Linked DNA regions of Cricetulus griseus. The protein of the gene in region 2 binds, or shares a complex with, the protein of the main gene of each other region. Links are inferred from orthologs where the notes say so. Each region holds a gene or a part of one and is shown on either strand. Other genes may lie near its edges.

Region 1 (4,062 bases), about 90 Mb from region 2:
CCTCTTTATGTTTAGAAGTACAGGACTTGAGATCAGACAGACCTGATTTGCTTCCTTATATCATTACTTAAGAGTTTAATTTCGCCACAGAGAAACCTGGGGGAGGGGGGGCGAGTTTAATTTCTTTGCAATTCAGTGTCCTCACATTTACTGAGGACTAAATTACTGGGAATATAAAACTAAATGAATTTTTCTTTTTAAATGGGAGCTAAATTCTTGGAGCCAAGAAATGCATGGAGAGTAATAAGAAAAGTGCAGGTTTAAGTGTATTTAAAGGTCTGACCCATGCAGCATTCCACCACGGCTTCTTCATATAGTCCTATAGACGTTAACCCACTAAAAGCATTGTCTGCATCTACATTAGATTAAAAATGAAGAAAGATGCCTTTTAAACCTATTACATCAATGCTATAAGGAACCATTTCCATTAAACTCAACAGAAATTTCCTTAACATTTCCTATGTATGTGCTCCTCAATGAGACCACATTTTCTTCATCTGTACGTCCCCAATATTCTGCCAATGCCAAATACAAGTGCTCAGTAAAGAGAACTATATTCATATATATAAATTTATACATGTGTAGTTCATAATATAGACTGTGTATTATTTTTTAAAAAGGGCCAGGCCATGGTGGTGCACGCCTTTAATCCCAGCACTCAGGAGGCAGAGGCAGGCAGATCTCTGTGAGTTCGAGACCAGCCTGGTCTACAAGAGCTAGTTCCAGGACAGCCTCCAAAGCCACAGAGAAACCCTGTGTTAAAAAACCAAAAGAATAAAATAAAATTTAAAAAAAAAAGCTACTTCTTCTAATTTCCTTTTTGTCTCCAGCTGTAAGAAAGAAAAGGGAAACCCCCATCTAATCTTATTACAATATTAGGCACCCTGATTCACACCTGTAACCCTAGCACCTGGAGACTAAGGCAAGAACAACCAGGAGTTCTAAACCAGCCTGAGCTACATGAAGTGAGTTCCAGGCAAGCCAGGGATAAACAGCAAGACCCTGTCTAACAACAATAACAACAACAGAAATTAAGGGGGAGGAAAAATGACCTGGCTTGGTCATTCACTTTGTAGCTGTGTTCAGTCTCGACACTTAGTTGCATTAAAGTGAAAGTGCTGTCCCACTTACCTACAGTCTCTATTCGCTCCTGAAGCCACGGGAAATGCATTCCTGGATTAGAGAACACAGAGGTTTCTCTCTTGCCATCCTCTGCCAAAGCAAGCTTTGTCAATTCTTCATCGAAATCGCTCATATCTATTCCAAACTGAGAGTATCAGTTAGCGTCAGTACACGTTAACCCACAGGCACCTGACTTGAGCTGAAAAGCAATCTTTTCTTGTAGCAAAGTCACCTGAGCAGCAGGGCCCATTGTATCTGACAGTTCTTTTCAAGGAAACACTGAATCTGTTTAAGTCAACAACAGCCTAAACTCAAGTCACATTTTTTAAAAATAGAAGTCTGGGGACTAGAGACGGCTCAGCAGTGAAGAGCACTTGCTGCTTTTCTAGAGGACCTGTGCTGGTTCCCAGCACCCATGTTCATGATCTTCTGGAACCCTAGTCCCAGGGCATACAACCACCTTCACAACAGAACATAGGCACACACATGCAGGCACACACCCACACATGTAAAATAAAAAGTTTCTAAAATCCATAAAACATAATACTGCAAAGCTCTGAACCAAGAACATACAAAAATGAGACATCCTTAATTACAAAGTAAAAAAGCTAAAGCTACATAAAGAAACTGAAGAATACATAACACAATATAGCAAGTACAGTAACAGCAGGAGCTAGTATTTACTGGGACTTAACTACATACTTAGACTATAAAATATCTAATTTAATCGCAGCAGCAACCCTATTCTCTCCCACTTAGTAATGAAAACTGTAGGACTTGCTGGGTGGTGGTGGCAGAGGAAGGAAGGAAGGAAGGAAGGAAGGAAGGAAGGAAGGAAGGAAGGAAGGAAGGCTGAAGGACTTATACAAAATACGTAACATGACCAAAAGGAGTGAAGACAGGAGTCTAGCAAATGCAGAGCACACAGACTAGCTGGTGTGACCAAAAAAATGGCTAGGAGGTGGGCAGGGGGCCATGGCAAATAAATGACTCTACAAAAGCAGCCATATGCCACTGACCTTGGATTGAACTGTCGAAAGGGTGCAGACCCCAGTTCTGAGTACCTATCCGGTATTGAAGCTTCGGGTACTGCGATTTAGAATTCCACCAAACGCCCCTCCTTTCTGCAATCCTACGGCGCCACCCTGGCTCCGGACACCTTCAGACTGGTCCAGGGTGAGTGCTCTGGCGCTGCTGGTGTGTGTGTGTGTGTGTGTGTGTGTGTTTTCCGCGACGCTGGAGACGGGCCCGGGTCTCGAGCCTGCTGACTGGCAGCAGCGTCTCCCTGCGGCGCGGGAGGCTGAGGGTGCGTGGTTAGTCACCGCGCCGCGGGGAGGGCGCAGGGCCAGCCCCGGGGTGCTGCTCCACCTCACCTGGGGGCGGCCGGCCCCGCGAGCGCGCACTAAGCCTTGTAGGAAAGCCGACTCCACCGTGGGGCGCCAAAGCCTGAAGCGACGCCTCAATTCAGTGAGGTCGGCCCCACGGACGCTGCGGACGCCTGACGCGAGCCCCGAGTCCTCAGACTGGCGGCGGCGGCGCCGCCACGGTAACCTAAACCTCCCGGCCCGCAACTGACGCTCCCAGAACCGCGGGGCGCTCACACAGCTCTCCCCGGCGCCACGCTCGCCCGATCGCACGCCGCGGGCTGTCAGGGAAAACCCTCTCCGGAAGTCCTCAGCGAGCGCTTCCTGTGAGCCTGCGCATAACCAGCCGGCCGGCGTTCGGGTAGCGCGCTGCGTAGCCCCGCCCTCCGTCGGGCGTGGCCTGGGGGGAGAGCCCAAGAGCCTCGCCAGAAGAGGCTTGACCCGGAAGTGGGTGTTAGCTTCCGCCTTCGCCTTGGTTTGGCCCTGATTACACCTTGATCTGTGCCAGCCAGAAACTGGAAGGTTCCCATCGCAAGACCGGAGTGTGGCCAGGGGGTGCATTGCCGATTCTGATTGCTGCTCTGAAAGTTATTTTCATTACAGTTTTTAGCATCTTGCTGCCTTCACAGTTGGAGCAAGAGTCCGTGTTTCGCTTATCAACGTGGAGTGTTCTGGCGATCGGCCTGGAGTCCGCTCTCAAGAGGGACATTGGCAGCCGTGTATTGATTATGGAGGTGGATAGTGGAATTGCAGTGTCGTATGAGAAGGGGGACGCTGCGAGGGAAGATGACCCTGAAGACTGGCCTGAGATGTTTGGAAAAATACTCTGTGAAGGACTGATCGGTTAATGGGCAGATTATTACACAGATGTGAACAAGCATTAATGAGTAAAAGCTAAAGGGAGGCAACCTTAAAGTCATTGGGAAAAAAACAATAGTTCATAGTTAAGGCTGCATAAATGATGCAATGGATTCCTCCTAAACTCCGAATTTACTGCTTGAAAATAAGAGTCTGAGTTCCATGGAAATTAGCCGGTCTATCATTACTCCTTGCCCTTAAGCCTGTTTTGGTTTGGTTTTGTTAGAACCCCGGAAAACCTCAGGCCTCCAGGGTCTCAGCCCAGGACTGTGGTCACCCTAATCACCAGGCAGATTCGAAAGCTTGCTGCAAACTGCACAAGGCTTTATTGTTTAACGAGCTCGGATAGCAAAGACAGCTCGAAGAGTCTGCATAGAGATCTTATAGGGCAGCAATAAGGGGAGTGTCTAGGGGTACACACAGGCTCAGGATTGGTGTGCCTCCAGGCTTGGAGGGCTTGCCCTGTGTTGATTGGCCAACTGGTTGTTATGGCCCATAGGCCCTCCCAGGGTGGTTGCCATGCTCTTCAAGCCATTGCTGTGCACTTGTCCATAAAGCACACCCAGAGCCGTAAAGCATAGCGCCACCAGCTAACTTCTGATTGGTTCCTTGCCACAGGCAGGCATCTGACTTTCTAGTGACTAGGACAAGGTCATGGCAAGCACGTGTTACTGTCATGTCTGCCGAAATGGGGAGCTGGTCCCTTCAGTTTGTTTGG
Region 2 (4,032 bases):
AAACTGCTGGATCTCAGACTCAACACTCCCAGTATATTTTTTCTTTTTGAGACAGGGACTTCTTGCATCAGTGTTCTCAACCCATTGGTCCTGACCCTTTGAGACCATAGGAAAACATGAGTATTTACATTATGACTCCAAACAGCAAAATTACAGATAGGAATGTTAGGGTTGGGGGTCACCACAACGTGAGGAACTGTTTTTATAAAGGGTCACAGCATTAGGAAGGTTGAGAACCACTGCTCTACATAGCTGTCCTAGCACTCACTGTATAGACCAGGCTGTTCTTGACCACCTGCCTCGTCTGTGTCTGCCAGGTTCTGGGGTTATGGGCATATGATGCCACGCCTATCCCTGCACCCCTAATTCTCACAGGCCCCAGGACCTCAAAGGTATTGAAGGCAACAGACTGTCTGGGGAGACCAGGAGGCAGCTGCACAAGAAGGGCTCAGGCTCTTTAATAGCACCCCTCCCACTTTCAGAAGTGCCTGGGCTGTAAGGCAGAAACTACACAACACAGCAGATGGGAGCCAGAGGGCCCAAGAGCTGGTGCTGGGACTCAAGGGGCAGAGAATGGACACCAACCAAACAAGGGAAGGTTTCCAGGGGAGGCAGGGACAAAAGCAGGCTGGCGACTACAGTAGTCCTGCAGGCAAGGCTGGGCCTGGGTGGTACCCACCCTCACTGGCTGGACAGAGAGCAGGAAGACCACAGAGGGAGGGCTGTGACATGTTACCTTAACTGGCACCTGAGCCAGGGACTGGGGAATGCCACCAGAATTATGGGACCCCAGAATCAGGCCTCTGTTACTGGTCCAAGGGGCCTCACCTGGGAAGAACACAAACATCTGGTCTGTGGGATCATCGTTGTGGGCCACCAGCACTGTCAGGTCTGTGCGCCTGGGTCTTCCTTCACTGGGTTTGTCCCCAAACTGAGCCTTGAACTCCTCAAGTGTCTGGTCCAGCTCATCCTGGGTCACCAGGTAGCCACGGTCATGACACAGCTGCAGAGACAAAGAATCACCTGTCTTTAGAGAGGAAATGAACACTCAGCATGAACTCCGGGACTACAGTGCCAGACCTATCCCTGAACAGCCTGGGCTGCTCGGGGATAGCATGAGGAGGAGCACTTAAGTGACCCAGCAGTACTGGCCAAGCCACAGTCTGGTCCCCAACCAGGCCCCACCCCACCCCAGCCTCACTGGGCAGGCTAGGGTAGATCCCCTGGCAACTTCCACCTCTCAGTGCCCCCACCCACTCTTCCTGTTTGGTCTTAGGCGTGATGAGGGAAGAGTAGAGTGTAATCCAGCATCGGGTTGAGGGGCAGGCCTGAGAGACCAGGCCCTGGGGTCCACCCAACGCAAAAATTAAAACTATGCAGGCCTCTTTCTCAACTGGGGTCTGGTCTGTCTCTTCCCTCTTCGTCTCCTTCTTTTTGTCTTTTGTTGTTCAGAGACAGGGTTTCTCTGTGTAGCCCTGATGTCCTAGAACTCCCTCTGTAGAACAGGTTGGTCTTGAACTCACAGAGATCCGCCTGCCTCAGCCCTCTGAGTGCTGGGATTAAAGGTGTGGACCACCACTTCCCAGCCAACCTAAGTTTCTTGGGACAGGGTCTCACAATGAAGCCCTGAGTGACTTCAAACTTTCAAATAGGCCAGGCTGGTCTTGAACTCAAGAGACTGACTGGCCTCGGGCCCAAGAGTGATGGGATGAAAGGTATGTGCTACCAGATTAGTATTTTTACCTTTTCTTTATTTTGGTTTCTTAAGACAAGGCTTCTCTACAAAGCCCTGACTGTCCTGGAACTCGCTAATGTAGATCAGGCTAGCTTCGAACTTACAGAGATCACCTGCCTGTGCCTCCCCAGTGCTGTCGTTAAAGGCTTCTCTCTGTCACTACGCCGGGGCAAAACTGTTTTTTGTTTTTTTCAAATATTGTTTTTCACTCTGTGTGAAACAGTCGAGAAAAGTGCGTCAGACCCGCTCAAACCAGGGTTACAGATGGTTGTGAGCTGCCGTGTGGATGCTGGGGCCTGGGCTAAGTGGGTGGAGGGCTGCCCCGCAGGCAGAGAACCCAGAGTCTCTCCCTCCGGCCCCCCATAAACACGGTGTGAGCACGCAGAGAACCCCGAGTCTCTCCCTCCGGCTCCCATAAGCGCGGTGTGAGCGCGCAGAGAACCCCGAGTTTCTCCCTCCAGCCCCCCATAAGCGCGGTGTGAGCGCGCAGAGAACCCCGAGTCTCTCCCTCCGGCCCCCATAAGCGCGATGTGAGCGCGCAGAGAACCCCGAGTCTCTCCCTCCAGCCCCCCATAAGCGCGGTGTGAGCGCGCAGAGAACCCCGAGTTTCCCTCCTCCGGCCCCCATAAGCGCGGTGTGAGCACGCAGAGAACCCAGAGTCTCTCCCTCCGGCCCCCCATAAACACGGTGTGAGCACGCAGAGAACCCCGAGTCTCTCCCTCCGGCCCCCATAAACGCGGTGTGAGCGCGCAGAGAACCCAGAGTTTCCCTCCTCCGGTCCCCATAAGCGCGGTGTGAGCGCGCAGAGAACCCCGAGTCTCTCCCTCCGGCCCCCATAAGCGCGGTGTGAGCGCGCAGCAGCCCTCCCGAGGCAGGGTGCGGGCTGGAGGCCGGCCGGTCACTCGCCTGCATGATGGTCTTGCGGATCTTCCACAGCCGGTAGGTCTCCTCCTCGTCGTCCATGCTGCCGCCGTCGCCCGGGAACCGCTGCGCCTGCGCCGAAGCCGAAAAGAGCTCCTCCCACTCCTGCGCACGCAAAGCGTCTGCGCGGAACAACGGAAAGCCCTCCCCTTCCCGCTCAGCGAGCTCTGTTCTGTCTTCCGCCTGGAAACGCGACTTCCACCTTAGGCTGCGTAGCGGGCAGCCCCGGCGATCCGCTGCGCGAGACCACCATCGAGAAAATGTCGCGATACTTGGCCGTCACAGCTTAAGAGTTCTCGAGAGGGAACTGGGCGCGTAGGCCACGCCTTTAACGCCGCCCTGGGGAGCCAGAGGCAGGCGGATCTCTGAGAGTTCGAGACCAGCCGGGTGTGCAGAGCGACAGGACCGCCAGGGCTGTTATACAGAGGAACCCTGACTCAAAAAACAAAACAACAACAAAAAGAAATGTCTATGTATCTTTTTCCTCTTTGGGGGGTGGGGTGGTTCACTGTGAGCCCTGGCCGGCCTGAAATTTGATATATAAACCAGGTTGTCTCAGTCTAGAATTAAAGGCGTGTACCAGCATGGCCAGCACTGGAAAACCAGATGCTCGCCATACCTCCCATTCTGTCCCGCCCGAGCTTGTCCTCAGAGTCCGCAGGTCATCTCTAATTCCTGCCTGGGAACCTGTGCTGACCCTGACTTGGAAAGGCAAGTTTCCAGCAAACTAGCGAGGCCCCCACCAAGTCTGTCTGACCACTGAACCCACTGCATGGGCTGCAAAACTGGGCTGCGCCTGGGACACCCTGGTTATAGAAGCCACAAACGCAGAGTAAGGGGATAGAGACACAATACGTTTTTGGAAAAACATATCTAGATCTGGGAGCAATGGTGGGTGCATTTGGTCCCAGCACTCTGGTGGGCAAATCTCTCTCTCTGAGCTCCTGACCAGACCCTGGGGGTTTTTGTGGGGTTTGTTTTGGTTTTTGGTATGGGGAGGAGCCCTTGTCATTAACTTTCAGGTGACAACAACCCTCTCATTCTTTCGGTGGTTGGTTTTGTTTTGTTTTGAGACAGGGTTTCACTGTGTAGCTCTGGCTATCCCAGAACTTGTCTGTAGACCACACTGATCTCTAACTCACAGAGATCTGACCATCTGACTGCCTCTGTCTCCTGAGTACCGGGATTAAAGTCCTGAACCACTACTTTCAGACAACTCTCTCATTCTCGGTGGTAATGAATGGGCAGAGCCTGAGTACCTGGGACATTAGGAAAATAATTGGTGCCACTGAGGGGAGTCAGTCCAAAGTGTAAGGATACATGCAAGTGCCTGTCTGTAGGAGTCCCTCCTCTGATCTTACCTCCTGTGGTGGTTT
Region 3 (4,081 bases), about 4.3 Mb from region 2:
AGGCAGGAACAGACAGGAGGGTACCTGGAACTCACTGGTCAGCAAGCCCAGGTTCAGTGGGATACCCTGACTCAGAAACTCATGAGGAAAGTCTGTGAGAGAGTGTTGCCTGCGAAGCCTTAGACTTCAAGACCCAGGCAGGTGAAAACTGACCCCTGAAAGCTGTTCTCTGATCTCCAAATTGTGTCCCACACTCATCTGTGGCCTAACATATGTCATCCAAATAATAATGTGCAAAGTAACTAAAGAAGACACCTGTTGTCAACCTCTGGCCCTGAGATGCACCACATGCCCACAAGTGCATGTGCACACACGAAATGTCACACACAAAAGGGACTCCAGGGAATGGGGCCCTTAGAAAGACCACAGAGACAGGCGGTGTCCACCAGGGGATAGCTCAGATGCAACCAGACAATATGGAGATATAGCATTTTAACATGGCACCCAGAATAGTGGACAGTTTAAAACTTTGGCCTTTAAAATTTCCTTATTTATTTTTTGGTTTTTCAAGACAGGGTTTCCCTGTAGACCAGGCTGGCCTCAAACTCACAGAGATCCACCTGCCTCTGACACCTAGTGCTGGGATTAGGATTAAAAGTGTGTGTGCCACCAGCGCCCGCCATACTTTGTCTTTGTTAAAGCATGGTCCAGGTATCCTAGTCTTCACTTGAGCTCACTTCATAGCCAAGGATAGTCTTCAATTTAAGAACCTATACCGCATGCCTGTGTTGGGATGATAGACACGTGCTACCAAGTCCAGCACACATGGGGTCCTACTTGGCCTGCTATATGCTAGTTGATGCTCCATTAACCAGCCACAACCCAGGCTTGCTTTTTTTTGAGACAGGATTTATGTAGTCAGACCACACCTCCAAATGGTTGGAACCACACATCTGCCAGGGTTGTAAGTGTAGCCGCCACCACTTCAAGAAAGTGATGACTGTAACCACCACCCAGTTAGGCCTCTGCCCCAGCCACCCAGAATTATAGACTTACCTGGTTCCAGGTAGCAAAGTTGACTTTATCAGCTGCATTAAAAGCCATTATGTTGTACTTTTTGGTTGTGTTCCTGGAATGGGCAAGAGAAAATTCAGTCTACTGATTAGTCATTCAAAAAATCCACCATGATTACACCCCTTGGTTGTAGGTAATTCTGGGAACTCATAAAAGCTCCAGAGCAGTGGTTTTCAACCTTCCTAAAGCTGCACCCTTTAAAACAGTTCCTCATGTTGGGGTGATCCCCAACCACACAATTATTTTCGTTACTACTTCCTAATTTTGCTACTGTTATGAATCATAATGTAAATATCTGTGTTTTCTAATGGTCTTAGGCTTAGACCATTGGTCTAATTAGACCAATGGTCCAATGGTCTTAGACCCTGTGAAAGGGTCATTTGAACCTAAGGGGTTACAACCCACAGGATGAGAACCACTGCTCCAGAGTTTGTTTAAGAAGCTAGATCAAAAATAAATAAATAAATAAATAAATAAAATAAAATGGATCCATCTCCTCCAACCCTATCAGAAGTTAGCCACACCCAGAAGCCCCAGCATGCTCACAGTGCATAACTATACATGCAGACAAAACATTTTTTTTTTTTGAGACAGGGTTTCTCTTTGTAGCTTTGGAGCCTATCCTGGCACTAGCTCTGGAGACCAGGCTGGCCTCGAACTCACAGAGATCCGCCTGCCTCTGCCTCCTGAGTGCTGGGATCAAAGGCGTGTGCCATCAACACCCGACTCAGACAAAACATTCTTACACATAAAGATAATAAAAGAAAAAGTGGGCCACCAGGCAGTGGTGGCAAGTGCCTTTAATCCCAGCACCTGAGGGAGAGGGGGGAGCAGAGGCATGCAGATCTCTGTGAGTTTGAGGCCAGCCTGGTCTACAGAGCAAGTTCCAGGACAGACTCCAAAGAAATACAGAGAAACCCTGTCTTGGGAAAAAGAGGAGATCAAGCAGGCAAGAGGCGGAGGTGTGTGAGGGTCTTGGTAGGTTTAAGGCCAGCCTGGTCAAATCAGCTAGAACTACATTACACAGTAAGACTGGTCTTCAAAATAAGAGAGGGCTGGGTATGGCTTAATGGTGGACTACTTGGCCTCGCATTCATCTAAGTTTGGGAATTTTTTTTTTTTTCGAGACAGGGTTTCTCTGTGTAGCCCTGGCTGTCCTGGAACGCGCTCTGGCTTCCAGGCTGGCTTCAAACTCCCAGAGATCCACCTCCCTCTGTCTCCCGGATTAAACGCAGCCACCGTGTGTGGCCTGAGCGTCTGAAAATAGGACAGAGTCATCGAGCCTGACATTAACTACGGTGTGACTGTTACTGTGACTTGCACGGAGCCACCACCGGGCCGAGGAGCGTGTGGTGGGTGTGGGTGACTTACTTGGGGACTCGGACGACATACTCGGTGACGTTCTGGCTGCCGGGGCTCTGCAGAGGAAGCACGGGTTTGTGAGGCGAGGAGAGGCCGTGGATCTGTCCTGCCACCCCCACCCCGCCTCTCCGTTTCATTCATACTCACTAGAGTCGCCATGGCCGTTGCTCAAGCGGTTCCGGGGCGGCGTGATCCGATGCTCTTCGTGGTATCCCTCGGTCCCGGGGAAGGCAACTTGCCCGGGAGTTACGTTGGTATGATCCTGTGTTTTGTGTCTCCAAACCCTTAAGTCTCAAGAAGACGTGACTCTGACCCGGAACTAGAACTGCCACACCGGGGTGGGAGCTACCTCAGCACTCACCTAGCTCAGGCGGTCTCCAGCCTCTGACTAGCGCTCTCGCCGCCAGCGCGAGTGATTTATTCACGGCGCGTGGGCACGCCCCTCGTGACGTCACGGCTCAGGCACCGCGGTGCATCCTGGGCAGGGTGGGAGTGGCGTCTTCTGGCGAGTGCGTCCTCGGCACTCCTGCGCATGCGCCAACGTGCCAGTGGCGGGTGCGGAGGCCGCGTTGCCATAGCAACCGCGGCCGGCTCCGCGAGAGGACTCTTGGGGCTCCGGGGGGGGGGGCGGGGGGCTGGGATTCCGTTTTCTGTGCCCCGGGTGCCGGGGGGAATTCCGGGCATCTTGCAAAAATGAGCCCCTTGTGACGTCGAGCGGAGCCAAGGGGTCGGGGCAGGTGGGAACCCGGCCCCCGCGTACTCCGGCATGCGGGCAACATGGGTCTGTGCCAGTCCACGCTGCCCCAGGTGGGCAGAACTTTGAGGACCCAGGAGAAGGGTAACGTGGTGGGGTGGTTGGCTTACGCGGGTGGCGGACGGGGCGTGGGAGCAGGTATCCCACCCACCGTGCGGGTGTGCTCACACTAACGCGGCAAGAACGCAGCTGCGCATGCCCTCTCCCCCCCAGTGGTGGATGCCTGCGGAATTACAGCTCTAGAGGAAGGGCTCAGAGAACGGGGGCCTGAGGGATGCATAGGAGTTGGTTAAGCAGAGGGACAAGGCAGGCACAAACCTTGAACCATAAACGGCTACTGACTTCCACGGTTGGTAGCAGAGACATTCATTTCTTCACCATCAAGGGCCATGCACCCTGGGTTACAGAGGCTGGCTAGGAGGACCAAAGCGAGCCGAAAGAGAGAAAGAACCATGGCTGACTATGGAATGCATGGGGGGAGGGGGGTCTGAGGCAGGGGGAGGACAAGCTGGGACGCTTGACCCCAGCACGGGGGGAGGTGTGACTGTAGACGTAAGCAGGTAGGTTAGACAGGACCACCGCATGCTGGACTGAGCAGGGTGCGGCTGCGTGAGTTTGAGGGCCTCTCCCTTTCATTATCTGTAAAATGGGGTGATGGAATTACAAGGGTGCTCCAAGGAGGTCTGTGCAAATGGCTCAAGAGAATCCCAGCACTGGGATCCTTCGATTCGAGACCAGGGCACCCTGAAGACACGCACTAGTACCCACTGTCTTCCATGAACACTACAGATGTCCTGAAGTCTCCCCTGATCATCTTCGTGGTGGGCGGCCCTGGCTGCGGGAAAGGGACACAGTGCAGAAACATGGCCACCAAGTACGGTTTCTGCCACGTGGGGCTGGGCCAGCTGCTGCGGGAGGAGGCTCAGAGGTGCACCCGGCGGGGTCAGCAGA
Region 4 (3,500 bases), on a different chromosome or scaffold from region 2:
CTGAGACTTGTTCTATAGACCAGGCTGGTCTCAAACTCAGAGATCCACCTGCCTCTGCCTCCCAAGTGCTGGGATTAAAGGCATGTGCTACTATGTCCAGCTAATAAACTCATTCTTTTTTTTTTTTTTTTTTGGTTTTTCGAGACAGGGTTTCTCTGTGGCTTTGGAGTAAACTCATTCTTAAACCACAGCAAAGTGCATGGAAATGCAAGCTCTAGGCTGTTTCTTGAGGATTAGTTTGCTCAGTGATGTTAAAAAGTCTCAACACGGGGTATAATGAAGGCATCCAGCAAGGGCTTCTCAAGGAACTATACAGGTGGTCAACACACCATTCTTTTTGTTTTTTTGGTTTAGATTTGGAGCCTATCCTGGCACTCGCTCTGGAGACCAGGCTGGCTTCGAACTCACAGAGATCCTCCTGCCTCTGCCTCCCAGTGCTGGGATTAAAGGCGTATGCCACCACCATTCTTAAACTTCTTGAGCATCTCAAACACAAGGGACCTCTTCTAAAGCTGGTCAGATTCCATCTATTACCCTCTATTACACATCAGTGAAAACACAACCATCTTTGAAGTTAAATACTGGAATCTTAATCCCATTTCCCCCATTTTCAAGCTGTGTGACACTGCCATGGAAGTTGATCTGTCTGACCCTTTCTTATCTCATTCTCAAGATACTGGCCAACTATCTAGGTTACTCTGGTTGTTACCATCTACACGGCAGACATCCTCAATATAGGACAGAAGCAAGGAGAGCAGGATGTCTAGACGCTCAGCGATGGGGTGAGCCATCTGGCTAGTCCGATCCAGGTCAGCTTTCCTTTCAGGTTCAGTGTCCTCATCTTCATCCTATGAGGAAGTGAAAACTGGCATTATGAAAAGTCACTGAGAGCCGGGCAGTGGTGGCATATGCCTTTAATCCCAGTAATCAGAAGGCAGAGGCAGGCGGATCTCTGTGAGTTTGAGACCAGCCTGGTCTACAAGAGCTAGTTTCAGGACAGCCTCCAAAGCCACAGAGAAACTCCGTCTTTTTTTTTTTTTTTTTGGTTTTTCGAGACAGGGTTTCTCTGTGTAGCTTTGGAGCCTATCCTGGCACTTGCTCTGTAGACCAGGCTGGCCTCGAACTCACAGAGATCCGCCTGCCTCTGCCTCCAGAGTGCTGGGATTAAAGGCGTGCGCCACAAACGCCCGGCCAAGAAACCCAATCTTGAAAAACCAAAACCAAAACAACAAAAACAAACAAACAAAAATAAAAACCAAAAAACAAACAAACAAAACAAAACAAAAAGTCACTTGAGAGTTTGGGGAAAACTGGCTTAGGCTATCATTTCTTCTAAAAGAGAAGAGTAAATGCAGACACTGTCCCAGACTCTCATTCAGAGATGTGGTTCAAAGTCACTTTTTGAATTTTAAACAAACACCCGTCTCTTTTAACTTTTTTTTATTTGGGGGTCTGGGATATAGAACAGGTGGCAGAGTGGGATACTGGGACTGGTCCCTCATGCTCATAAGCATGTGTGCCAGCACTAAGCTGTATCCCCAGCCTTGACTCTCAGAAGATCCAAACACAACTGGCTATGCCAACAGCACATTCCCATCCTGATCTTGGTGACTTGTGTAACTGCATTGCTGGGGTCAAGTCACCAGCTGCTGCGCTGTCTGCCAACAACTTGTAGCTTCTCCAATCACAGCCTCAGAACCAATGCCAAGGAGTCAAAAGAGGCAGAGAGCCAGAGGATCCTCAGTGAGTAAAGGTGTTTGCCACCAATCCTAGTGACCAGAGTCTGATCTCCAGAATCTACATGGTAGAAGAGAACAGACTCCAGAAAGCTGCTCAAGGTACAGCTACTTCCTGCTACACCCCAGAAAACAGGCTCTCACTTAGCTTCACCCCAATTTTCTTGTTCTCTAATGCTTGGCCTCAAGAGTACCTCAATTTAGCTCAAACTCTGGGCAGTCAAGGCCCACAGGCCCACATCACACATTCCAATTAGGGAGTGAATACTTTAACGTACCTAACTGGCAAAACACTTACTAAACTGGGACACATTTTGCTTGCTGTTTCCACACAGAGGCTTGTGACTTGCAGAAACAATGAAAAAAAGTGAAACTCTTCTCCCCAAAAATAAATCTTACAGCCTTGGACATAAACTATTTATAGTCAGTAAATAACATGTCAGCACTGGGCAAGGTATCACAAGCTTGTAAACCCACAACATACTTATTTAAGGAGGTATTCTCAAGTTTGTTAAACAATATCATTTATGTATTGATGGGGAATGGTCTTCTGTATATGTTTATCTTATTGGTTGATGAATAAAACACTGTTGGCCAATAGGGCAGCAAGAAAGGTGGAACTAGGAGATGAGGAGGATTCTGGGAAACGTTGCAAGAGTCAGTTACTATGTAGGCTGCCAGAGGAGTAACACCATGCTGTGCATTACTGGGTAAGCCACAGCCTCATGGCAATACATAGATTGATAGAAATGGGTTAATAATTAAGACAAAGCTAGGCAATAGGAAGTCCAAGCCAACGGCCAACAGTTTATAATTAATATAAATATAAGTCTTGTGTGTTTATTTGGGGGCTCCAGGGCAGCTTTGGAACCGGGCAGGAAACTCTGTAACATATTTATGTATTGCCACAAGTATGTTAGGAGACACACGTATACATGCATGTGGAGGCCACAGGTTGCTTGGTTTATTCTTCCTCAGGAATGCTGTCCACCTCCAGAAAAGGGTCTCTCACTAACAATTACCCTAGACTGTCCAAATACTGTGCCAGGGGTCCTCCTGTCTGTGCCTCACTAGTGCTGGGACTTGAACACATACTACCACACCCAACGTTTTTCTCTAGGCACTAGGGGTCAAGCTTAGGTCCTTATATGGACAAGGAAAGCACTTTTCCAGGACAGCTATCCTTCCAGCCTCTCCACTGTTCTGTTTTAACACAAAGCCTTGAAAAGGCTTTAAGTAAGCCTATGAAAGGCTCTAAGCTATTAGCTGAGTTTTTCCACACTCTGAAGTGGTGAACTTCCAATGTATGCTTCTGTTAAGGATAAGAATCAAAATACAAGATAAAAATAAACAAGTTTAAACATCAACATCAGAACAAAGAGGTACTGACCATATTAAACAATCCTTCCGTGGTATCTGTCCCACAAGTCTGAGCTGCTGCCTCTTCAGCATCTTCAATATCCTGCCGGGATACACTCACCTATATCATAAAAACATAAATAAAGCAGTTAAAAATGCAGCTATTTGTAGCTGAAAATTAATCTACTGTATATACTATTGTTGTGAAATACTACTTTAACTAGGCAAAGGTGTGTTACATTTATGCTGTGGAATATTTAACTGTGTAAAGGTGTGTTACATTTGTTTGTGCTGCATTAATTATGTAATTATGTAAAGGTGTGTTACATCTGTTTCACTTTGCCTGCTGAAGGCACCCGTTCTAATAAAAAGCTGAACAGTCAATAGATAGGCAGGAGAGGGATA
Region 5 (3,500 bases), on a different chromosome or scaffold from region 2:
TCAAACACAGGCTTGATGGCCAAGGAGGCGTCCATACAACTGTGGGATAACACAGTCGTCACCCAGGGCAGAGGCCGGGGGCGAAGCCATCCTGTCCACACAGGCTTGCATCTCACCTGAAGTGCAGGATGGGGTTGGCAATGGTCGGGGTCCTGTCATCAAAGGGCTCGATGATAATGGTGAAGCCTGGGGAGGAGGAGGCCGGTGAGTGTGCACGACAGCCCCCGCCTGCCCCTGCCCCTGCCATGGCTAGCGCAGGACAGGACTGTACAAACGCTCAGGTGTGGAAGCAGGGTGAGCCAGGGCTTCACTGCACGGCCCCGCAGGGAGGCCAGGCCCGCCCTCCCCCAGGCCGGCCTCACTCCCACCTGTCCCCCCCTGCTCCCCACACTGCAGTCGGGGAGACGCTATGGAACCTTAAGTTGGCTGGTGTCTCCACACTCCTGCCATACCCAGAAGTGTGCCCATGAACTCTGCAGGGCCAGCCCTTGCTCCCAGCTACGGTATCAGCGTCATGTCCCAGGGCCCACTTGGTTGGTTGGGTCCTTGTTCCACAGGCACCCTGGGAGCCAGGACTCCTGCTCCTCACAGCACAGCCACACTTTCTAGTGTCCCCTTCTGGAGTGATCTTTGCTCCTAGCCCCCAGGCTGTGGCTCCCAGATGAGGGTAGGGATATGGACAGGAGGATGAGGGGGGCAACTAAGGCTGTGCTGGGCCCAGCCTGGCTGTGTGTGTTAGACTCCGGGCCCAGCCTGGCTGTGTTAGATCCCGCTGTCTCCACGGGGCCCAGCCTGGCCCATCTGTTGACTGAACAAATGATTACATTCACAGATTCTGTTTCACTTGGCAAGGAAAGACCAGGTCTTGTGTCCAGCATCATGCTGAGGACCCAGCAGAAACCAACAGAATCTCGGTCCTACCCAAAAGGGCTCTCCTTGCACGGGGGAGACAGCTAGCCAGAGACCCAGCTGGGACAGAGGGAGGGGCAGGCCCAGGATGGAATGGAGTGGGGGTGACTTTCTGAGAGGTAAAGGACTTGACTCGGGCAGGTGATGGGGCACAGGGAAGGAGGCTTTCTGTAAGACTGTGATGGATGCATCAGTAGGTGGGGGCCGGAGGGAGAACAATGAAGGCCAGGAGAAGAGGCTGGGTGAGGGCAGAAGGAAGCAGACAGCTGCCAGCAGCCCCTTCTTCCAAGGCTGGGCCAGCTGCAGGACGCCAGCTGACCTGGTTTCCTGGCTACGGTACTAATCCCCAGGGATAAGCTTAAAAACTCAGTGCAAAGCTGGGGCGGGCGGGGGCAACAAAAGCTGTAGCTTGTCCCCTCTCCCTGTGCATCACCTGCATCCCTCTCCCTCAAGGGCTTTTACATCTGGCCGCTTTCTCCCATAGCTCTCCCCAAGGCTCCCTTTTCCTGTCCCCACAGTCTATGGCTCCCCCTCTCTGTTGGATGAACCTTGAAAACAACAACCTCACCAAGTACATCCCTTGCCCAGACCCTGCCATGGCTCCCGGTGCCCTCAGGCACACATGAGGACTTCTCCCCCAGCCAAAGGTGGGCTGACCGCACAGCATCCCTCTGCTCAGTATCACAGCTCACTCGAGTTCTCCCCCTGCAGCCAGGAGGAGCCTCTAGACACACGAATCTGAACACGAGGCTCGCTCACTCGCTTGTTCCCCAGGGCCCTCATAGTAGCTCAAATCCCCTGTCTCACATGCCCAGACTTCCTGCTAATACCCCACCCGACTTAGCTAGGCCCCCAAGTCCGCTGCCAGGAGGAGCAAGAGGGGAGCTTACCCTTGGCGTAAGTGCTGACGAGAGTGGCGAAGTTAGCAAGGAGTGTGAGCGGGGAGAAGTCAGCCAGGTCAGCAATCTCCAAGGTGTGCAGGAGGGAGCGCAGGCGCTCAGCACAGAACCTGAGAAGCCATGGGGTCGGGAGAGGGAGGGAAGCAGCAATGGCTGGGACTCTCGCCACCTGTTTACCTGGGCATCGTCTGTGGCCAAGCTGTCCCCACACTGCAAACATCCACAGCTACCGCACAGCACTAGCACACGCACACGGCGCCCAGGTTTGCCGCTTGTATGCAAATTCTTGTCAAACAAGACCCATGGCCATCAGTCACTGTGCTGTGCAGCCAGTGTCGTGGGCCCCACGCTCAGAAAGAACAGCCACACACTTTCCCAGGCTCGCATATGCACACGCATAGGGCTGCAGAAGTACCAGGTAGTCCTGCAGCGGTCACAGCCAAGAGCTGACCTCACAGTGACACGGCTCGCTCCACATCCGACTCTGACCTGACCCCTGACCCCGTCACCAGCCACAGGTCTGGACCTGAGGTCCCCATGGCAGCATGCGCACCTGAGGGGCTTGCGTTGGATGCACACGCGCTGAGCCAGGCCGCTCAGGAAGGCAGGAGGGCTCTCCTGTACCACATGCTGCACGCGCAGCCGCCACTTGACGTACTCCAGCAGCCGCCGCAGGAAGCCCAGGAAGTGCTCGGCAGTGCGGATGGAGCCTGGCACGGCCTCTGCAGGGAGACTGAGTCAGCTGGCACGGGAAGGAAGGCGTGTGAGGGTGGGGGGTGGGGCACGGCTCACCCTGCAGCACCTCGTCCGGCAGCACAGGGTTCGCCAGGTGCGCGTCTGTCTCCCGCGCCGCGCTGGCCTCCCGCAGCCCCTCCACCAGGCGCCGGTACTCGTCCCGCAGCCGCTGCTCGTCTGTCTCCTTGATCCTGGCGGGGACATGGGACAGAGCTGGAATGGGGCAGGTGTCCAGGGCCACGGAGGCAGGCGGCACACAGGGAGCAGAGTGGGCACCTGAGCACCGTCTTCTGCAAGGTGTCCAAGTTGCTCTGGCAGCGGTCCAGAGTCCTGCGGGTGAGGTTTACACTCATGGAGTCGATGCAGACATTGTCTAGGAGGAAAGCAGACAGACATGGGCTCAGCCGGCTTGGGGGCGGGGCAGAGAGGCCGCCGCTGTCTGCACACCCTGGCACCCTCCTCACCAATGTTGTGGGCTTCATCGAAGACCACGACGGCCTTGCGGGCCAGCTCTTTGGACACCAGGTCTGCGATCTTGGGGTCCAGGAGATAGTGGTAGCTGTAAACCACCACGTTGGCATGCAGGATCTAGGAACATGGAGGGATAAGTTTTTGCCTTGGGCCCTGCTGCCCCCGCCATACCACTCCTTCCCAGGTGTACAGACGTAACACCAAGACAGACAGCAGGTGGATGGAAAAGACAGATGGGACCACCCAGGCAAGGCATAAACAGAGGCTGGAGACAGGAAGACCTAGGTACCAGGTCAACAAAGATGCAAGCAGACAGATGGGCTAACGGAGGGGTGGGCAAAAGTGGCTCATGCCTATAACCCCCATAGCTGGGAACCTGCGTAAGGTTCTTCTAAGTTTGAGGCCAGCCTGGGTTATAAGTGAGACCCTGCCCCAGAAGAAAACAAAACAACTCTTCACCGAGTATCGAGCCAGGAAGTAGGGGCA
Region 6 (4,106 bases), on a different chromosome or scaffold from region 2:
CCATGCACCAAGCAAGCCATGTCCTAGATGCCAGGAAGTAGGCCATTGGTCAGTGGTCTGTCCCCGTGTCCCAGGTGACAAGAGGACATCAAACACAGACGGCCTTCCAGTTGATCTCTTAGCCCTGGCTATGGATGAGGACTATGAATGACAGGGCCCAGGCTCTCTTGACCCGACCACCATCATCTCTGAAAGGGAGCCCCGGGTGGACATTAAAGTATCAGGGCGGTTTATCTCTTTCCTTTTGGACACTGGTGCCACATACTCAGTCCTAAAGGAGTTTTGGGGACCCACCTCTCTGTCTCGTCTTCCTATTGTCAGGGTAGGAGGACAGCCTTACTTACCTCAGCAGACTCCACCGCTTAGCTGTATTTTTAGGGGGATTCCCCTTACTCATTCATTTTTGGTTATACCGACTTGTCCTGTGCCTTTACTAGGGAGGGACCTTCTAGCTAAGGTAGGAGCTTCTATTTCTTTTGCTCCCCACATTCGCCCAACTCCAGACTCGCCAGCGGCTCCCCTCCTCCTCCTCCTAGCTACTCACCCTACAGGTTCCAGTACGTCATTTCCTTTACCAGCCTCTCAGGTAGACCCCAAGGTCTACCAGAACCCTTCTGTGGCTAGACACCATCCCCCCTTGTCATTCAGTTACAGGACCCCTCTAGGTACGTTGCTCAAGTTCAGTACCCACTCCCACTCCAGAGCCTTAAGGGACTTAAACCTATTATCTCTGACCTCCTAAGGAAAAAGCTACTTCGTCCTACCTCCTCCCCCTTTAACACCCCTATACTGGCAGTAAAAAAACCTAATGGGACTTTTTGTCTGGTTCAGGACCTCCGTAACTCTATGGTAGTGCCCCTCCATCCTGTGGTTCCTAACCCTTACACACTCCTCTCTACTATCCCCCCGACATCTCACTTCTCAGTTTTAGACCTTAAGGATGCCTTTTTCTCTATACCCCTCCACACCTGGTCTCAAAATATCTTTGCTTTCACCTGGACTGATCCAGATACTCATGTCTCCACTCAGCTCACCTGAACCTTTTAATAATAATAATAATAATAATAATTATTATTATTATTATTATTATTATTATTATTATTATTATTATTATACATCGGATCCGCTAGGGGACGACACAGAGCCTTCATAAACTCCGCAACCAGGCAATTGTGCCTTTAGTTCAAACCAGTTTGCGCATGCCCATAACTATGTCTAGTCTCCCACCCATACTCCCCCAACCGCCCTCTACTGCGCAGGGGTGAGTGTGCGTACTCCATTGGTCGGGATGCCGGAAGGGGCGGGTCCACTGAGAGCTCGCACGCCGGATCAGGGCTTCCTGTCCTCGGTTCCGTCCCGGCGGCTCACCGGCGTGCATCCCCGTGGGCTCACCGGCGTGCGACCCGGCGTGGAGATGCCCCGAAGTGGGGTACGAGCAGACTATCGCGCCGCGCCGGTGCCCCCCTACAAGTCGGATGCACGCACGGAGGCCCTTAACAGCAAGGTGCGGTGGGTGGCCGGGGAGCGCCTTCCGGCTGGGGTTCCCGGCGGCGCCCGGCAGCCCGGCGGCGTGCTCCTCGCTTCCGTAGTCGGTTCTTGGCACCCGCCTCAGGCTGCCCCTCCTTCCTGCAGACTTGCAGAGAGGGAGGCACAGAAGCTTGTCCCCCAAAAAGGGGGGGGGGGAGAGACACTGGCGGAGGTTTGGTGGGGCTGTCCCCTTACCGTCCCCCTTCCCTTCACGCGGATCTGTTGCTCTGTGGATCTGCTTCACCCTGTTAGCTACGCACCCGCCTGGGGGCCATCCTTGACATCCATCCCGAAAGTTTAGAAATCTGCCAGTGTCCTTCCAGACGCTGTCACTGGCTGTTCTGACTCAGGGTGTCCCCAGCTGCCTGTGTCCTCCACTGTGATCCTAAAATACATTTATCTGATGGTCTCTAAGTAGGACTCTTGCAAGTTAATCTTTGTCTGCCTCCCTCCCCTTTTCTCTTCCTTCCTTCCTTCCTTTCTTCCTTCCTTCCTTCCTTCCTTCCTTCCTTCCTTCCTTCCTTCCTTCCTCCCTCTCTCCCTCCCTCCCTTTCTTCCTTCCTTTCTTCCTTCCTGAGCTTTCGTGTCTCTCAGGCCAGGCGCAAACACTGTTGTTTGAGAGGGGAGCATGACCTTATTCTCTTGCCTGACAGCCATGATTTCAGGGTTGCACCACCTTGCTGAACTATACCATTAATCTTAACTTCCAATTACAGACAGTCTTTAAACATGTATAGTGGAGAGTATTAAACGTTTTAAATTCTACATTTTTTTTTTTCTGTCCCAAGTGACATCTTGGGTTAGTGACCTTATTCCCACTGTATCACAGTTTTCTTTGGTGTCAGCTAAAGTGAGATGTCTACCTGTCTTTCCTAAAATGAACATAAAACACCATACAAGCAGACTTGAGTCTCAAGGAAGATGAACTCGTGTGGCTTTGTAGTTCATCACTATAACTCTCACCTCTGCCATCGTGGAGACATAAGGATGCATACTCACTAGGGCGGGTGTGAGTTTTAAAAAAGACCTTGCTTCTTATTACTGTGTGTGATGGTGTGTGGTTACTTAAATTAGTTATTGCCTAGTTAGGCATTCATTTGATGGTCACAAACAAGCCTAGCTTAATGATAACAGCAGTATGCAGTCTTTGCCATGCAAACAGAATGATGCAAAGATGAAAAATGATGCTGTATCTCCCCAGGTAGGGCATCCAATACTATTTATCTGAATGTCTGGCTATCATCTAGTACATACATGAAAAGTAATTGTTGTTGGGGAAGGGGAGAAACACATTCATTTTCTTTTTTTAAAAAGTGTACAACAAAACTTTATAAAACTAATTAAAGGGTGGGTATTGATTTTGGTGAACAGTGGCTCACTTTGGTTAAGGTATAAGCCATGTGGTAACTGGCAGCTGGCAAGTCTAAGTCAGCTTTTCCTTCTCCAGCTGTTTTCCACGGAGTCCAGCTGGGTGTTGTTGCCCTGTAGAGTGTCCATTTAGACAGGTGGTATGTGACAGCCCCCAGTCCCATTATTCAGAATTTCCTCACCAAACATACTTTGAAAACGTCTACTTTAGGTTTTTCTTTATTTTAATAGATTAAAGAACAAAAAATTCTTGTGGATGAACTTTCTAACCTGAAGAAGAATCGGGTAAGTTACTGTTGGAATCCGGAATAGTATACAGTATATTAAAATCAGGAATTAGATCATTTATGCTAAAATTACAAAATTCTAACATACTAATTTAAAACTAAAGTATCCTAGTTTGTTTTTCATGTTTTTCTGCATGTATCAGTAAATCTCAAAGTTGACAGGATTCTTTCCCTATTACATTTTTAACAAAAAAAGAAACAATTACTTCCTTTTCCACAGCAAACTTTAATGCTCCAAGAACTTAACCTATTTAATTCCTTTTTTATGACATGTTCATAAATAAACTGCTGTCTCATGTGTAGTTTTACTGTTAAAAAAATATATCTTAAATGAAGAAATGATTTTGTTCTCTTTCAAGCATTTTAAAATGACTGACATTTTCAACATTTCTGATATTGTCATTTATGAAATATTAGAACTAAGGCAAATTAATACAAAACTTCTGGAGACCAGATTGGCAGAATGTATAAACGCTGTATGAGACTTGACCTGGAGCTTCTTTTAGAGTAACTGATGAATAAACAAACAGTCGTGAAAACACATGGGCATTTAACTGCAGTGGCAATCTGTAATAATCATGAATTGGCATTCTATCAAATGTCTGAAGTTTGACAGCAGCAAAGAACTATAGTATTGTGCCCGTGTGGTAATATAAAGAACCTTCATTGATCAGAAAAGGTCTCCATGTTGTTTTATAAGAGTAAATTATAACCCTGTGGCTGTGGTAGCCTTTGTCACTGACAGTAACATGACATAATGGCACATACTATGCAAACAGCCCTTTCTAGGTGGCAAGTATCGAGTGGCTTTGTATCTGTTTATATTTGATAAATTGCTGTTTTGAATATTACTGAAGCTCAAAAATAAGTGATAATAGGATTGTTGAGCATCACTATGCAAATCATGTCCTGATGTTGTAAATT
Region 7 (4,253 bases), on a different chromosome or scaffold from region 2:
TCGGGCGGGGGCTCAGGGGCCGGGCTCCAGGCCGGCTCACTTGGTGTTTGCCCTCGTGCCGGCCCACCTGGTGCTCGTTCTCGGGCCAGCCCATCTGGTGCTCGTTCTCGGGCCAGCCCACCTGGTGCTCGTTCTCGGGCTGGGCGTGCGGCTGGTGGCGGGGGAAGTGGAAGCCGCCGGGGGTGGGGATCGGGGAAGCCGCCGACAGGAGGAAGAGGAGACAAACTTGAGAAAGAAAGGGCTAAGGGGCAGGGGTCTTTCACCTTAAGCACACAAGAAACATACAGGTGGCTAGGTGAGGTCTCATTTCTGTAATTAATTTTCAGCCTGACTGTAACTGGTTTTAACTTAGTAAAATATTTGAAACTTAGCACAGCTGAATTTAAGACTGCATAGGGTTACATTATAGTCCTTAAACAGTAGCTACAAGTACACATTTTAGCTGCTTGCTCAAATGAGACAGGGTTTTTCTGTGGCTTTGGACCCTGTCCTGGAATTCAATATGCTGGACCAGGCAGGCCTTGAACTCAAAAAGATCCATCTGCCTCTGCCTCTGGAGTGCTGGGATTAAAGGCGTGTGCCACCAACACCCTAAACTTAACTTCTGAAAAGATAAACATCTTATAATAGATTAGCAGCTTTTATAAAACAAGAATTTTACATTGTCAGGCTTTGCTTAAAAATAATTTTAAATTGAAGCTCTTTAAGTACAAACATTAATAAAAATAAACATTTAAAAAACTGGTTTTAAAAAGAAATTTAAATTCCCTTAATATCTTTCTGTAATATATAGAAGCATTAACACTTTAAATCTTAACTGAAAAGCTTGTTTCTAAGATGGAACCTCTAATTTCCACGCGGTCATCTTTAGTCAGGATGGCGGTTTAAGTATCTTTTTTCAACTTCAGCAAAATGGCTGCCAGTCAGCCATGTGACCAGTTTGCCATGTGGCTGGTTACAAAATGGCCATAACTTGCACCCTTTGCTTAACATGCTTGTAACAGAACTTAGGTTATACCAGGAAAAAGAACATTTTAAAACAAGTATACATAAATTACTTGAGAAATAAACAGGACTTTTTAAAAACAGAATTAGCTTAATATGGTTAAAATTTTAACTTATATTACCATTTTTAAAATTTACTATTTGTTGACATGAGAAACCATAGCAAACAGTTTACATTTTTCTCTTTTAATAATCTCTTTTCTGACCTTCTATGACTTGCTTTAACTTTCTATAACTTTTTATAGTTCTTTCCTCTGATTTTCTTAGACATTCTTAGACAAATTTTTCTTTTTCCTTTTTCTCTTTATTATTTAAGTCTCCTACATTTTCTCTCATTTCTCAGTCAATGTAAAAATTTTTATCAAAGTCCCTTTTACAGTTTTTAATAACTTTTAATAACTTTAAGGCCTTTTTTTTTTTTTAGAAGTCCGGATCAGGCCAGATAAGTTCATACGCCCCAGCTCCATGTGCTCAAGGCAGAGACCTGGGGTGGGGGTGTTGGTGGTAACCCCAGACCCTTGGCCAATGCAGGGGTGGGATAATGGGATAAAGACCCCCTCGGTCCCCCTGCATACCATGTGTGTGGAGCACAGAGAAGGCCGAGCAGCCAGGCAGATGGCGGGCCTTGCAGCCATGTTCCCTCAGAGCAGGGAAACTCCCTTGGCAGGCAGGATGGCAGCTGGGGCAGAAACAGCCCCACTTGGCATGCCTCACAGACCCGCAGGTGGGGATAGAAAGGGGGTGGTGTGGTGGATCCTGAATTGAAAACCAATGATGATAACACAGAATAGACAGGAAAGAACAGACGCCAACCCAATCCGCCCGCGCCGCTTATAAGGCAATGGCGACGGAAGATGGGCTGCAGAACCCAGCGGCTACAATCATCACTAACTGAGGAGGATCCAAGTCCTTGGCCTCCGTTCGTACCTCCTGGGTGTCCTCAGAGCAGCAGTCTGTCCTCCGGGCGCATCTGCTGATCACAGTTGAGGTGGCATCATGTGCTCAGAGCATCAAGAAAAGACCCCTGACCCATGCATTCCATGTGCATGGGCAGTAGGGACAGAAAGAGATGTTTAACACAGACTAGGGTCCTATTCGGAATTTCAGATGGCTAGCCCCGTGGAGATCAACTTGGTTCGAAACCAAGTCTCCCCTATAGATTTCGGAAGGCTGCCGCCCGAACTTCCGCCTTAAACAATTCTTGTAGGCCTACTCACAGATGTCGCCAGAAACCCCAACATAGGACCTCCATATCCACAAAATTAACAGAAATAGTAAAATTGACACACAAGCAGACGGTTAGGGTGTGGGCTGCAACAGATCAGATAACAGATAACAAACCTGTTGCTCAACTGTTCAGTCACCCAGCCCATTCCAATCCTCTAGGCTTAACAGACACCAACAGCAAAACAGGACATCAGACAGGACAAACCCTGTGGCAAAGAAATGGTGCCCCAAACCAAAATTACAAACAACCCTTGGACTTCATCCAGGGCGGAACCAAGGATTCCAGAAATACGTCTATTTCTGTGCACGTCTGCTTACCCTATGGTTCAATTCAAATAGCCCTCGGACTTTTGTCCAGGACGGGACTTTGAAATATGTCTATTTCCCCCTGAAGTCCAAATTACAAATCACGAGTCCTGCGCAGGCTCAGATCAACAAAAGAGCAATTTCAAGTGGCACCAAACCAACAAAAACAAGCAAACATATAACATTGAACATATAAGTTGCGAGCTCGAATCATCTTACCTCCAAGATCGAATCCATTCAGGTGAAGGGTGGTCGCAAATCGCGGACGAGCCCCCAAATGTTAGACCCCCCGGAAAACTCAGGTATCCGGGGTCCCAGGCCACATTCTCGGTCACCCCAATCACCAGGCGGATTCGAGAGCTTGATGCAAACTGCATGAGGCTTTATTGTAATTTAACAAGCTAACCCCATGTTAGCTCGGGTCTTTTACCCACCCGCCGTGGCAGATGGCTCGCAAAAGACAGCTCCTAGGGTCTCCCAAGAGATCTTACAGGGCAGCGTAAGGGGAGTGTCTAGGGGTATGCACAGGCTCACTATTGGTGTGCCTCCAGCCTTGGAGGGCTTGCCCTGTGTTGATTGGCCAACTGGTTGTTATGGCCCATAGGCCCTCCCAGGGTGGTTGCTATGCTTTGTGCGTCATTGCTGAGTGCTTATCCATAAAGCACACCCTGGGTCATAAAGTATAGCGCCACCAGCTAACTTCTGATTGGTTCCTTGTCTCGAGGCAGGCATCTGACTTTCTAGTGACTAACTTCTGATTGGTTCCTTGTCACTAGGCAGGCATCTGACCTCTAAGTGACCAAGACAAGGTTATGGCAAGCATGTGTTCGGCTGTTATGGCTGCTGAAAGGGAAGCTGGTCCCTTCACTATCAGTCTCCACATGAGTTCATGCCCATGCAGAAACACCCACATGAATATCCAGAGCTGTCTAAAGGGTCACAGCATCAAGAAGGTTGAGAACCACTGCTCTAGTAAGTGAAGAGAGTGAAAATGCTAGACTTAGGAGTCAGAATGGAATGGTGAGAACCAATTCCTGGAGAAATGATCTGAGAGCAAGGACATCATTTTCCAGCTATGGGAAGGAAAGGACCAAGCAGGATGCAGGATTATGAAGTCCTAGAGGAAACCCCTAGCCTAGGACCTCAGATCAGGAGGCATGAGAGAAAACATTTTCTTTAAGCTTGGTAGGTTGGTAAATGCCTGTAATCCCAGAGCTTAGACAGGATCATTTGGAGCCAGAAGACAGTGGGCTTCGTAGTAAAGCCCCGTAACAACTCAGGCTGAAAAGTGGAACATCACCATACTCCAGAAAGCTTCATGTACTCCCACTCATAGCCACCTCCCGGCATCCAAGAATGTATTTCTAAGTGGTACTATTTGCAGTTACATTGTGGGGATGAACTTTTATTCATTGATGTTTTTAAATTCATCCTTGAAGATATATAGAACTTAAAATGAATGTGCTAAAAACAAATTACCTGGTCTGTTCACATAATTTGCACTATTGATTTTTTTTCTCAACTTGGAGTTATGCTTTTACAAAGAAAAAAAGAGCAATAACAATTCTATCCTTATGTTTCTAGTTCATGTGCAGGATTTTCTCCAGGACATGTTTGTTGCTCAGTCACTTAACAAGCCTGCTCCTATACCTTGCTATATTCCCATTCCATTGTGGTTATATACTCATAGTTAATAGGTCTGGGCATAATGGTAA

What was found.
Region 1: Polr2e (region 2) and Taf1a share a complex: the UniProt entries of both Homo sapiens proteins name them as parts of the pol I pre-initiation complex. The link is inferred for Cricetulus griseus from reciprocal best matches to the Homo sapiens genes POLR2E and TAF1A.
Region 3: Polr2e (region 2) and Gtf2f1 share a complex: the UniProt entries of both Homo sapiens proteins name them as parts of the TBP-based Pol II pre-initiation complex. The link is inferred for Cricetulus griseus from reciprocal best matches to the Homo sapiens genes POLR2E and GTF2F1.
Region 4: Polr2e (region 2) and Rrn3 share a complex: the UniProt entries of both Homo sapiens proteins name them as parts of the pol I pre-initiation complex. The link is inferred for Cricetulus griseus from reciprocal best matches to the Homo sapiens genes POLR2E and RRN3.
Region 5: Polr2e (region 2) and Ercc2 share a complex: the UniProt entries of both Homo sapiens proteins name them as parts of the TBP-based Pol II pre-initiation complex. The link is inferred for Cricetulus griseus from reciprocal best matches to the Homo sapiens genes POLR2E and ERCC2.
Region 6: Polr2e (region 2) and Asdurf share a complex: the UniProt entries of both Homo sapiens proteins name them as parts of the PAQosome complex. The link is inferred for Cricetulus griseus from reciprocal best matches to the Homo sapiens genes POLR2E and ASDURF.
Region 7: Polr2e (region 2) and Polr1h share a complex: the UniProt entries of both Homo sapiens proteins name them as parts of the pol I pre-initiation complex. The link is inferred for Cricetulus griseus from reciprocal best matches to the Homo sapiens genes POLR2E and POLR1H.

Annotation. Positions count from the first base shown.
Region 1 is NC_048598.1:11,101,042-11,105,103, forward strand, and holds the start of Taf1a (TATA box-binding protein-associated factor RNA polymerase I subunit A), read right to left. Parts: upstream 2,801-4,062; 5' UTR 2,496-2,800; exon of another isoform or gene 2,142-2,495; intron 1,268-2,141; exon of another isoform or gene 1,258-1,267; 5' UTR 1,256-1,257; coding exon 1,132-1,255; intron 1-1,131. UniProt on the Homo sapiens protein: Component of the transcription factor SL1/TIF-IB complex, which is involved in the assembly of the PIC (pre-initiation complex) during RNA polymerase I-dependent transcription.
Region 2 is NC_048598.1:100,836,432-100,840,463, forward strand, and holds the start of Polr2e (DNA-directed RNA polymerases I, II, and III subunit RPABC1), read right to left. Parts: upstream 2,801-4,032; 5' UTR 2,699-2,800; coding exon 2,642-2,698; intron 1,028-2,641; coding exon 829-1,027; intron 1-828. UniProt on the Homo sapiens protein: DNA-dependent RNA polymerase catalyzes the transcription of DNA into RNA using the four ribonucleoside triphosphates as substrates.
Region 3 is NC_048598.1:96,546,490-96,550,570, reverse strand, and holds the start of Gtf2f1 (general transcription factor IIF subunit 1), read right to left. Parts: upstream 2,801-4,081; 5' UTR 2,536-2,800; coding exon 2,524-2,535; intron 2,439-2,523; exon of another isoform or gene 2,433-2,438; coding exon 2,386-2,432; intron 1,070-2,385; coding exon 997-1,069; intron 1-996. Other genes in the region: adenylate kinase isoenzyme 1-like, read left to right, coding at 3,154-3,214, 3,920-4,081. UniProt on the Homo sapiens protein: TFIIF is a general transcription initiation factor that binds to RNA polymerase II and helps to recruit it to the initiation complex in collaboration with TFIIB. It promotes transcription elongation.
Region 4 is NW_023276807.1:74,975,384-74,978,883, reverse strand, and holds part of Rrn3 (RNA polymerase I-specific transcription initiation factor RRN3), read right to left. Parts: intron 3,217-3,500; coding exon 3,127-3,216; intron 849-3,126; coding exon 710-848; intron 1-709. UniProt on the Homo sapiens protein: Required for efficient transcription initiation by RNA polymerase I (Pol I). Required for the formation of the competent pre-initiation complex (PIC).
Region 5 is NC_048602.1:27,967,166-27,970,665, forward strand, and holds part of Ercc2 (general transcription and DNA repair factor IIH helicase subunit XPD), read right to left. Parts: coding exon 3,474-3,500; intron 3,132-3,473; coding exon 3,008-3,131; intron 2,917-3,007; coding exon 2,820-2,916; intron 2,735-2,819; coding exon 2,601-2,734; intron 2,531-2,600; coding exon 2,362-2,530; intron 1,919-2,361; coding exon 1,800-1,918; intron 187-1,799; coding exon 117-186; intron 40-116; coding exon 1-39. UniProt on the Homo sapiens protein: ATP-dependent 5'-3' DNA helicase. Component of the general transcription and DNA repair factor IIH (TFIIH) core complex, not absolutely essential for minimal transcription in vitro.
Region 6 is NC_048595.1:402,525,206-402,529,311, forward strand, and holds the start of Asdurf (ASNSD1 upstream open reading frame protein), read left to right. Parts: upstream 1-1,306; 5' UTR 1,307-1,414; coding exon 1,415-1,504; intron 1,505-3,126; coding exon 3,127-3,180; intron 3,181-4,106.
Region 7 is NW_023276806.1:228,752,000-228,756,252, reverse strand, and holds the start of Polr1h (DNA-directed RNA polymerase I subunit RPA12), read right to left. Parts: upstream 2,801-4,253; 5' UTR 2,758-2,800; intron 1-2,757. UniProt on the Homo sapiens protein: Core component of RNA polymerase I (Pol I), a DNA-dependent RNA polymerase which synthesizes ribosomal RNA precursors using the four ribonucleoside triphosphates as substrates. Can mediate Pol I proofreading of the nascent RNA transcript.